Linked DNA regions of Sus scrofa. The protein of the gene in region 1 purifies or fractionates together with the protein of each later gene. This does not show direct contact. Links are inferred from orthologs where the notes say so. Each region holds a gene or a part of one and is shown on either strand. Other genes may lie near its edges.

Evidence for each region.
Region 2: the proteins of ZNF219 (region 1) and CDK2AP1 purify together in Homo sapiens (affinity purification with mass spectrometry; 3 studies listed by BioGRID and IntAct, counting the BioPlex papers as one, with this or other methods). This does not show direct contact. The link is inferred for Sus scrofa from reciprocal best matches to the Homo sapiens genes ZNF219 and CDK2AP1.

Annotation. Positions count from the first base shown.
Region 1 is NC_010449.5:78,037,442-78,042,748, forward strand, and holds part of ZNF219 (zinc finger protein 219), read left to right. Parts: intron 1-2,471; 5' UTR 2,472-2,557; coding exon 2,558-2,563; intron 2,564-2,846; coding exon 2,847-4,254; intron 4,255-4,562; coding exon 4,563-4,694; intron 4,695-4,962; coding exon 4,963-5,307. UniProt on the Homo sapiens protein: Transcriptional regulator. Recognizes and binds 2 copies of the core DNA sequence motif 5'-GGGGG-3'. Binds to the HMGN1 promoter and may repress HMGN1 expression. Regulates SNCA expression in primary cortical neurons.
Region 2 is NC_010456.5:29,636,790-29,642,880, forward strand, and holds the end of CDK2AP1 (cyclin-dependent kinase 2-associated protein 1), read left to right. Parts: intron 1-1,067; coding exon 1,068-1,194; intron 1,195-4,670; coding exon 4,671-4,738; 3' UTR 4,739-5,468; downstream 5,469-6,091. UniProt on the Homo sapiens protein: Inhibitor of cyclin-dependent kinase CDK2. Also acts as a component of the histone deacetylase NuRD complex which participates in the remodeling of chromatin.

The sequences.
Region 1 (5,307 bases):
GGGCCCTAGAATCTTCTCAGAATCAGAGTATGTGCCCATAGGTTAGTCAGCTATGACCATGCAGTATTCCCAGCCTCCCCCCTCCTCCCCCACCATCTGCTTCCTCTGAATATACCAGATTGGCTGTACACCAGGATGTTCCGGGAATCCCCAGGAGAGCAACAGAATGTGATGGACCCAAATACGATGCCTCAGTAACTCATTCCAGGATGTACAAACTGTAACTGTCAGGGCACTCCTTATAGCTAATTAAAATTCTTCTAGTTACATCTATTTTCTATTACATCTATCTATCTTTGGTGACATCCAAAAGGCCAAAATAATTCCTCTGGTACCTCTGCTTTTTTCTCCTGCTGTGGTTTTCAGATAGGAATTTTTAAAAATCCTGTGACGTTTCTCAGTGCCTTATCTATGGCTCTAAAATGGCAAATGTGGCCCCTCTAGCACTTCATAGCTCTATCTATGGTACTGAGGTGGCCAAAGTGGCTCCTCTGGTAGCCCACTGCACTCTCCATGGTACTGAAGGAATGACCATTTGTTTTAATGTCTCTCGGGGGTCCAGAAGAGTCCTATGACTCAGAACCACAAAAGTTTCAAACTGGAAGGGACCATCAGTATAAATTAGTCCAACCCCCTTATTTTACAGATGAGTACAGTGGGAGGTTAAATGACTTACTGAAGGTTGCAGGGCTACTGATGGTCTGACTAGGCCCATTATAGTCTTGCACCCCTCAGTCCTTCCCTAATTCATCTTTCATGATACTGCTCAGTGAACCCCGCTAAGCTCTTGGCCCCAGGCAAGGGGTTTATTTGGGGATCCAGAAAATGAGAGTGGATGCCCTAATTTGGAGCTGCAGAAATATAGATATTAAAAGTAGTGGCGGCGTTTGTTTAGTGACCCTCGAACAAAGACATTTTGTTAATCTCCTGCTAATAAAATTCCCGTAACCCGGATTCCACATGTAACAGGTTCCATGCCCCTTCATGGAGACATATCTCCATCTATGAAATGTCAAAAATTAAAGAAGCCTTGGACCTCCAGAGCCTTTTCTTTTTGCAGGGCTGTCTCCTGACTCAGTTCTCTTCTATTAAAGATCCTTAAGCAAAGTAATGCTGAGTCCTTTTCTTTTTCAGTAACCTATTTCAGTTTCACAATGCCTATTATAAGGAAGTTCTTTATATCTCAAATATTCTATCTCAGGAAAAAAAAAAAAATAGCTTAGGCCCACATTTGTCTAGCCTTGACCAGATACAATTCTGTATGTAGGCAAGAAAGGTAGACTGGACTACTTCTGGTCATTCTCCTAGGCCTATTTCCATAAACCTTAATTCTGGGGTTGCTTCTCAGTCTTAATGCTAACCTCCTCTGCAGCTTAGAATCAGGAGATCTGCCCCCCCACCCCCCCAGTCCTTTTCCTCTCAGTGCTCTTGTCCTTCCTCAGACCTGGAGCTCTGCACATCCCAGGCCCAGGGAATTTTAGCCTGGAGAATGTTAACCCTTTCCTGCTCAGAGCATGTGCTGAGCCCCTATCTGTGCAGATGGCCCAGCCCCGCCCCCCGTCCCTCACTCCAGCCTCTTGAGCTCAGAGCCAGTGTAATCCTCCTCTTGTGTGAGGGAGCCTCTCCCCTGCAGAGAGGAGGAAAGCCTGCTTCGGAACAGCCCTGGACAAAGGGGCTGAGATGCCCCATCAAACTGCAGGCTCCAAGGTTTGAAACAAGGGGATGAATCCTGTCCGGTATTTGCAGTTTTTAACCCCTTCCCAAGGCCTGCAGCGCCCCTTAACTTCCACTCCTCCCCCAACTCTCTCTTCATTCCCTCTTCCTCTGGCTCTCTCCCCCTTCATGCCCCTCCCCCTCTGTCTGTCTCCAGACTCTGCTGCTGGGAGGTGTTTCTCTCCCATGCATGAATGAGTCTCTGTAATGAATGGAAATGAATGGATCAGGAATCCAGGCAGAGGGAGGAAGAATGAGGGGGAAAGACAGAAAGACAGGGTAAAGGCAGAAGGAAGAACTGTGGAGTCTGGAAGAATGTTTGGCTGGCTGGTCAGTTAGGGGTCTGAGAGCAACTGGTCCCGCTTGGATAACTGAGGAGCCTGGCAAGCCTACCCCATTTGCTCTTCAAGCTGCACAGCCCAACCTAAATAAGAGAAGGGTATACTGTGATGGTCTCCCCCACCAACTCGGTGGGGTTGGGGTGGGGGTGGGTTGTGATGGTGGTGGTGATGATGGTGGTTGTTCTGGACAAGGCATTTAAAAAGGAATAATTTGGGGGAAGAAATCTGGGTTATCAGGGAGCTTTGTGGGCAAATAAAAGAGCACAAGTTTTGAAGATAGCAGCCCCCTCCTGTCTCAGGATGTCAGGAAGAAGGGATAGGTTTCAGCGTGCTAAGAGTCTGGGGTTGGGAGTGACTCTTTCCACTGCTGAAAATCAGGGCTCATCTTTTCCTCCAAATCTGTCTCTCTTGCTTTAGCTCTTCAGCACCTGTTGCCTTCACTAGCAGCTTTTCCTCCTCCTCTTCCCTGCACTCCCCAGAACCAAAGAATGTGAAGGGGGTCCATGGAGGTGAGTGAAGCAGGGGCCTGAACCTACAAGTACCTGCAACTATGCTTCCTCCCCTCCCTACCTCTCTCTCTGGCCTCCCATTATTAGAAGTTATTTCTGTAGCCCCAACAGCTCAATTCCCAGTCATCCCCCAACTTCCTGAGGTGAGTGGGAGGGGCACCCAGTGTTCCTGGTTCAGGCCCCGACCCACCCTCCCTGGGGTTCTTTTGGCTCTCCATGCCCTTGCTTCCCCCACTGCGCTCCATTCTCCACCTTTTTGCCCTACTCACATCTTTCTCCACAGGGTTCACGTCCCCGCGCCCCGGGCGGCCACCTAGCGCCGTCGCCACCGGCCTTCGACGGCGAACTGGATCTGCAGCGCTATTCCAACGGGCCAGGCGTGAGCTCCGGGTCTCCGGGGATGGGAGCAGTGGGCTGGTCTGAGAGTCGCGCGGGCGAACGGCGATTTCCCTGCCCTGTATGCGGGAAGCGCTTCCGATTCAACTCTATCCTGGCTTTGCACCTGCGGGCGCACCCAGGCGCCCAGGCCTTCCAGTGCCCGCATTGCGGGCACCGCGCGGCGCAGCGGGCCCTGCTGCGCTCGCACTTGCGCACGCACCAGCCCGAGCGCCCGCGTAGCCCCGCCGCTCGCCTGTTGCTGGAGTTGGAGGAGCGGGCGCTACTGCGGGAGGCCCGGCTGGGGAGACCCCGAAGCTCAGGGGGCCTGCAGGCCACCCCTGCCACTGAGGCCCTGGGGCGGCCCCAGGCTCCTTCATCGTCCGCTTTCCGTTGCCCCTTCTGCAAGGGCAAGTTTCGCACCGCGGCGGAGCGCGAACGCCACCTGCACATACTGCACAGGCCCTGGAAGTGCGGCCTGTGCAGTTTCGGCTCCAGCCAGGAGGAGGAGCTGCTGCACCATAGCCTGACGGCCCACGGAGCTCCTGATCGCCCCCTGGCGGCCACCTCGGCTGCGCCCCAGCCTCAGCCTCCACCCCAGCCTGAAGCTAGATGCGTCCCGGAGCCCGACCCGGAGCCGGAACGTGAGGCAACACCCGCCCCTGCTCCTGCTGCTCCCGAGGAGCCCCCAGCGCCTCCGGAGTTCCGCTGTCAAGTGTGCGGCCAGAGCTTTACGCAGTCCTGGTTTCTCAAGGGCCACATGCGCAAGCACAAGGCTTCCTTCGATCATGCGTGTCCTGTGTGTGGCCGCTGCTTCAAGGAGCCCTGGTTCCTTAAGAACCACATGAAGGTGCACGCCAGCAAGTTGGGCCCACTGCGTGCCCCGGGGCCTGGTTCTGGGCCTGCCCGGGCCCCCCAGCCTCCTGACCTGGGCCTGCTGGCCTATGAGCCTCTGGGCCCTGCGCTCCTCTTGGCCCCAGCGCCCACACCGGCTGAGCGCCGCGAGCCTCCAAGCCTCCTGGGCTACCTGAGTCTGCGAGCCGGTGAGGCCCGGCCAAATGGTGAGGGCGCTGAGCCTGGGGCTGGCCGCAGCTTTGGAGGTTTCCGCCCACTTCCCTCTGCTCTCCCGGCCCGGGCTCGCCGGCACCGCACTGAGGAGCCAGAAGAGGAAGAGGAGATGGTGGAGACAGAGGAAGAGACCTGGGCCCGGAGCAGGGCGCTGGGCCCTCTGGCCTCACTGCCTCCGCGCCCAGGTGAGGGCTCAGGGCACAATGCGCCTGCTGCGGGGGCCCAGGCAAGGTCCACGACCACGCAGGGTAAGTAAGGGGCCTCCTCTCTCCAAGGTTTTCTGCATCCTGGGCCCACTCCTATGCCACCACCGCTCTTTTGTCCCCCCTTTTAAGAAAGGACCTTTTATTTCTCCCGTCATTCCCCCCTCCCAGTTTTATCTCCTTTTGAGGGTACAGCTCAACTCCCAACAAATCCAACCCTTCAGGTTCCTGCTAACATACTGTGTCCCCCTGGGCGCGGAGGGGAAGCGGTCCTGTGGAGTGGATGTAGGGGCACATGACCCAGATACGGTTAGAGCAAAGTCCCTTTGATTTCCCTTATGTGTGTATTGCAGAAGAGAATGGGCTGTTAGTTGGAGGGACCCGGCCTGAAGGAGGCCGAGGGGCCACCGGCAAGGATTGCCCGTTCTGCGGGAAATCCTTCCGCTCAGCGCATCACCTCAAAGTGCACCTGCGAGTGCACACAGGTGAGGGGGCAGCCTCTGAGGTGGGGAGGGGACTGGAGGGCAGGAAGAAGGGGGTGGTGAGAGGCCTCCTGGGAACGTTGGGAGATAACGTTCGACAGCCTTTAGATTTTTATTAAATCAGAGGGGATGAGAGAAGCAGTGTTTTGTTTTGTTTTTTTGGTTTTTTTTCCTGGTCCAGAGGTCTGAACATGAAGGGAAATGCGAGTTGGGGCGGGCAGTGATCCTCTCTGGCCCTGTCACCCACCGCCTCCGCCCCCCCTCTTTCCAGGCGAGCGCCCCTACAAGTGTCCACACTGCGACTATGCGGGCACCCAGTCCGGCTCGCTCAAGTACCACCTGCAGCGTCACCACCGGGAGCAGAAGAGCGGGGCCGGCCCTGGGCCGCCCCCCGAGCCGCCGCCCTCCTCCCAGCGGGGTTCGGCCCAGTCGTCGGGACCTAAGCCGGCTCCGCAGCCTGCGACCTGGGTGGAGGGCACGGCGAGTCCCCGGCCTCCATCAAGAGGCGCCGCGCCGGGGTCCCGTCGGAAGCCCGCTAGCCCTGGGAGGACCCTGCGCAACGGGCGAGGCGGTGAGGCCGAACCCCTGGACCTGTCCCTGCGGGCAGGGCCGGGAG
Region 2 (6,091 bases), on another chromosome or scaffold:
GTCAAGTGTGGCCTGGATAGGCCCCACAGTGCCCTGGCTGTGAGGCAGCGGCCAGAGGAGAGGAAGGGCCACGGATTCCGGAGGAGGCTCCTGGAGGATGCTGAGGAACAGGACAAGGAGAGGAGGAAGGATTGGGAAGCCAAGAAACAGGCAGCAGAGGAGGGAGGAGCAGGCGAGGGTCTCCCGGTCAGGACACAGCTGCTCTGATGCAGCTGTGGGGAGGGGGACGGGAGAGGGAGGGTTGGGGTGAGGCCCGAACTGGCAATCTCCGCCCACAGCCAGGCAGGAACCTGGTCTCATTGATCTGGGTGTTTCCTCAGGCTGCTAGGGGTCTGGAGAGAAAGTTCTGTGCCGTGGGCCCTGCCAGTAGGGGAAGATGGATGAATTAAACATATCTGGGGCTCTGGTGGTTTTTATAGTCCTGCCAAACCAGGTGTGGCCTCCATCTCGTCCACTCACTCCGTCCCTCAAGCCCGTCCATCCTGCTCCTTCCTAGGAAATTCCCAGTGAACCCTTTCCTGTTGACAAGCCAGTCTTTTTTTTTTTTTTTTTTTTTTTTTCTTCTTTTTTCATTTAAGATGATAACAGCTTTCTGTAGACTGCTGGGTGGTTTCTCTGAGTGCATAGGGACTGTAGGGAGTGCCGGCTCCTGGTCTGTAATTGTCCCCCAGAGAGGACGAACCTGGCTCTAGCAGAGGCAGGAACCTTGAGAGTTTAGGCCAGGCCACTTTCCCTCCACCATCTGCCCCTGCCCTTGCGAGACTGGCACGTGGTGGGGCCTTGACCATGGCATTGGGGTCAGGTTGGGCTCAATCTATCTGAACTACTTTTTTTTTTTTTTTTTTTTTTCCTCTTTTAGGGCTGCACCTGTGGTATATGGAAGTTCCTGGGCTAGAGGTTGAATCAGAGCTGCAGCTGCTGGCCTACGCCACAGCCATGGCAATGCCAGGTCCTTAACCCACTGAGCGAGGCCAGGAATTGAACATGCATCCTCATGAATTCTAGTTGGGTTTGTATCCCACTGAGACACAATGGGAACTCCCTGAACCCTTTCTTTCTGATTCTAGGGAACCGGTAACAGCCAGGTGCCCCAGAGCAAATACGCTGAGCTGCTGGCCATCATCGAAGAGCTGGGGAAAGAGATCAGACCCACCTATGCAGGCAGCAAGAGCGCAATGGAGAGACTAAAACGAGGTAGGTCATGGGCCTGGACTCCACTGTCAGGTGACACTTTGCTTCTGGCCTAGTAACTGTCTTGAAAGATTTTCTCTCTTGAAAATGGAGGATGATGGACAGGAGAGTACCCCGCAGCACAGGACACAGGGGTTCCTGCCCTGTTACAGAATTACCCTTGGATGTGGAGGCATCAGGCAGCATGACTGGGTCTGTGGAGTGTAGACTGTCCTGAGGATCTGACAGGAAGGGTCTTGGTGGCCAGTTGTCAGATGGGGTGTCTAAGAAGGGAAGCCCTCGCCCTGCATGCTTCCCTGGGGTAAGGGTGGGTCCATCTGTCTTAGAAGGGAGTCTAGACCCAGATGGTACAGCTCTGCCCCAGGCCTGCTCTGCTCCCTTTGGCCATAGCTGGCCCCAGGGAACCCCAAGCCACCCAGTACAACAGGCTTCTCCTCTGGGCAAGGCCAGTGACTGGGGGCTGCAGGGTCCTCTGCTGTCCTCTTTTGGAGCAGTGCCCCAGGAGGCTGTGGTCTGTGCTAGTCTGGGGAGGGAAAGCAAGTAGGCTTTGAAGTTATTTCTTTTCTTTTTCTTTTTGTTGTTTTTTTTGCCATTTCTAGGGCCGCTCCCTCGGCATATGGAGATTCCCAAGCTAGGGGTCTAATCAGAGCTGTAGCCGCCAGCCTACGCCAGAGCCGCAGCAACGCAGGATCCGAGCCGCGTCTGCGACCTACACCACAGCTCATGGCAACGCCAGATCCTTAACCCACTGAGTGAGGCCAGGGATCGAACCTGAAACCCCATGGTTCCTAGTCGGATTCATTAACCACTGAGCAGCGACAGGAACTCCTGAAGTTATTTCTTGATTAGAGAGGGAGGGCACTGGAGGATGGTACCACAGGAAGAAGGTATTGCACGTGAAGATGTGACTGGCCAGCTGACTTCAGCAGGCAGTGAAATAGGTTGGTTGGGAGTGGAGGGGAGAAAAGGATTTCTATTTTAGAAGGTGGTGGTTCAGAATGTGGTGGCTTATGTGTGAATTTAATTTCAGGAGGGATTCGGGTTTTTTTGTTTGTTTTTCTGAAGGTCAGAGAAGTAACTTTGGAGAAATAGGAAAGGGAAACATTTCTTAGTTATAAATCTGGGGTGTACGGGGTGCTGCAGTTGCAGCCGTGACTTCAGTGATGGGCAAGGCTGATTGAGGTCAGGCCCCTACCCAAAGCAGTGGCCTTTACCCAGTTCATGACTCCTTTGTGAAGAGACTAACCTGTTTTGGAACTGGGTTGGGTAATAAGAGCACAGGTGTGGGGAGGGGGACTGGTAGTTAGAGGCTGGAACGAAGAGTGCGTGGAGGAGGGAGGGAGCTTACCTCCAATCCAACCCTGGGGGTCAGGTGGGCATCATGCCACCCAGTCCTGGTAACTGGGGTGTTGGTTACCAGATTGGAGATGCCTGGGAAGATGCTGGACCCCAGAGACTGTCTGACAGGTGATCTGCAGCCACCCAACAAAGCCAGCAGTTCAAGTCCATGCCTGGATACACCTAGTGATTGCGCCAGGGCAGCTAGGGCACATCCTGGGGAAGCAGCTGGTCCCACAGTCACCCTGACCAGAAGCTGAGCAGGCTTGCCAAGTTTATGTCATAGCAAGTAAAAAGGGTCATAGGGCAAGAGGGAGTCAGGCACCAAGAGGAGCCAAGACTGTTTTTTGTGGTTTTTAATGGTGAAGAAAAGAAAGATGTTGTGACATGTAAAAATGATGTGATATTCAGACTTTAGTGTCTCTAAGTATTGTTGGAACGTAGCCACACCCATTGCTTACATAATGTCTGCTGCTGTTGTCACGGTAGAGTGGAGTAGCTGTGACAGTGGCTATACAGCCCCCCCTTTAAATTAAAATATAGTTGATTTACAGTGTTGTGCCAATTTCTGCTATACAGCAAAGTGACCCAGTCATACATATATATGCATTCCTTTTCTTATATTATTTTCCTTCATGGTCTATCCCAAGAGGCTGGATATAGTTCCCTGTGCTGTACAGCAGGACCTCCTTGCTTATCCATTCTAAATGGAATAGTTTGCATCTACTAACCCCCAATTCCCCCTCCATCCCACTCCCTCCCTCTGCCTTCCCCCTTAGCAACCACAAGTCTGTCCTCTGTCTGGGAGTCTGTTTGTATAGCCCTTTACAGAAGGTCTCAAAGCTCAGAAGCTCTGGGGGATAAGATTTGTAAGGTGGGGACACCTGAGTGATTTGAGGAGTCACTCACTTCCATTGCCCTCTGGGGGTCAGCTCTTAGAAGGAATAGGTTCTCTGATCTTGGATTTCCCAGCCTACAGAACTGTGAGAAATAAATGTTTGTTGTTTAAGCCACCCAGACTATGGTACTCTGTTGTAGCTGCTCAAAATGACTAAAATAAAGGGATTTTTTTTTTTTTTAGTCTGGAAAAAAAAAAAAGGAATAGATTCTCTTGTGCCTATTAAAATGAGATCAATGTTTCATGAAGTTGAGTAAAGCCTGCCCTCCCCCTCCCAAAGAAACCCAAGCAAACAATAGATAACTCCCAAACCATAGAGATAAAAGATGATGGGCGAATAATAGTGGAATAGATGCTGCAGGTCCCCTGGGGAAGGACGAAGCAGTGGACCAAGTGAGTAGTTCTCTTGTACCTGAACCAGGCAGGCTGTGACACTGCCAGGTCCTTTCTAGACTTTAGAAAAAATAATGATTTGAGGGCATGGAATCTCCAGAGGGTTTGGCTTAAAGAACTGGGGTGGAGACACACTTACTCTTGTCATCTGGATGGTAACATAGTTTGAATAGGGAGTAATGAAAAGAGCTTCCTGGTTGTCACCTTGAGCACAGAATGAGATTTTTAAAAGAGGAGTTTTGGCTTTGAGGGGTGGGGTGGGATTTGTTAGAGCCTTTTATTTATTTATTATTTAAAGTCTTTTGTTTGTTTGTTTTGGCCATGTCCATGGCATGCGGAAATTTCCTGGGCCAGCAGTCAAATCTGCACCAAACCACAGCAGCAACCCGAGCCGCAGCAGTGACAACACCAGATTTTTTTTTTTTTTTTGTCTTTTTAGGGCCACACCTGAGGCATATGGTGGCTCCCAGGTGAGGGGTTGAACTGGAGCTATAGCTGCTGGCCTACACCACAGCCACACCAGATCTGAGCCATGTCTGCAAGCTACACCACAGCTCATGGCAACGCCGGATCCTTAACCCACTGAGTGAGGCCAGGGATTGAACCTGCGTCCAGTGGATACTAGTTGGGTTTGTAACCCGCTGAACCACAATGGGAACTCCAACAACATGGGATCTTTAACCCACTGAGCCACCAGGGAAGTCCCCTTAGAGCCTTTAATGGCTCTAGTACTTGAGTCATTGGACGCAGGTTTTCCTCTGGTCTGAGGGCTTCATGGCTGGCTGTGAAAGGACCCTCCCCCTTCCGCAGTGGGTGCCACTGCTAATGCCCGCCTCTGCTTCTCTTCCAGGCATCATCCACGCTAGAGGCTTGGTGAGGGAGTGCTTGGCTGAAACTGAACGGAACGCCAGGTCCTAGCTGCTTTGTGAGCCTGGAAGGTTTCCCATCTTCTTCCCAGAGAAGTTACAGTTCATCTCCCTTGCTCAGATGAAACTTTGTTTTCAACATGGTAACAATCTGGTTTCTCCTTCCTACTGTCCCTCCCATGGTTCATTAGGCTCTGAACCTATAGTCTCTAAGATTTGAGAAAAGATTTTGCAGTTGATTAGGATTTACATTTTAAATAGGAACTACCCAGGTGTTTGTTTTTTAAAGCATTGATTCAAAAGATGCACGTAAAAGTTACCTATCTTAAAGCAAACTAGTTGCCCCCAAGATACAGGTGTCTGGCTCTCCTCTTTTGAAGTTATGTTACCAAGATTGTTCTCTGTTCTTTTTGTAAACTGATACAACTTGAACGGTTTTTTTTTGTAGTGTGGACTGACAGCACACACTTAACCTAGTAGCTGGTCCCCTTGTTTGCCATACAGTGTAGATTCTGCTTATTGTAACTTCTTTTTTGCTTAAACATTTGCATGACTCCTAGGTGCTTTGAAGTCAGTTTTTAAAATGCACAAGTTATAAATACAGAAGAAAGAGCAGCCTCCCAAACCAAACCTAACAGGGACCCCCGAAATTATTCCTAAGACTGTACTGTAGATTTCAGTTCTGCCTTTCCTGGAAGTTGATCCAAACATCTGGAAGAAAATGAAACTGTTTGCATCTTTGTATTTATTACTTGATGTAATAAAGCTTATTTTCATTAACAGCTTGTATTAAGATGTGGGTTCTTGAATTCTTGGTGCTTTTTTTTTTTTTTTTTTTTCTTATCTTTTTCTTTTTAGGGCCTCACCCACGCACATAGAGGTTCCCAGGCTAGGGGGTGAATTGGAGCTACAGCTGCCAGCCTATGCCACAGCCACAGCAACGTCAGATTTGAGCCCCATCTGTGACCTACACCACAGCTCCTGGCAACGCCGGATCCTTAACCCACTGAGCAAGGTCAGGGGTCGAACCAGCAACCTCACAGTTCCTAGTCAGATTCATTTCTGCTGCGCCATGACGGGAATCCTCTTGGTGCTCTTTTTAAGAACAGCTCCTCAGTGAGAGGGGCAAGAGGCCTGTCAAAGGGCATTTTCCGTCCAGCTGAGAAACATTTGTGTGACAATGTCAGCAGCACACCAGCCAAGGACATTGGACACGATGAGCTGGGATCAGGCAAAGCTGCACTATGGGTGCATTTTTTTTTTTTTTTTAAGGGCTGCACCTGCAGCATATGGAAGTTGCCAAGCTAGGGGTCAAGTTGGGGCTGCAGCTGCTGGCCTATGCCACAGCCACGCCAGATTTGAGCCATGTCTACGACCTGTGCCACAGCTCACAGCAACACCAAAT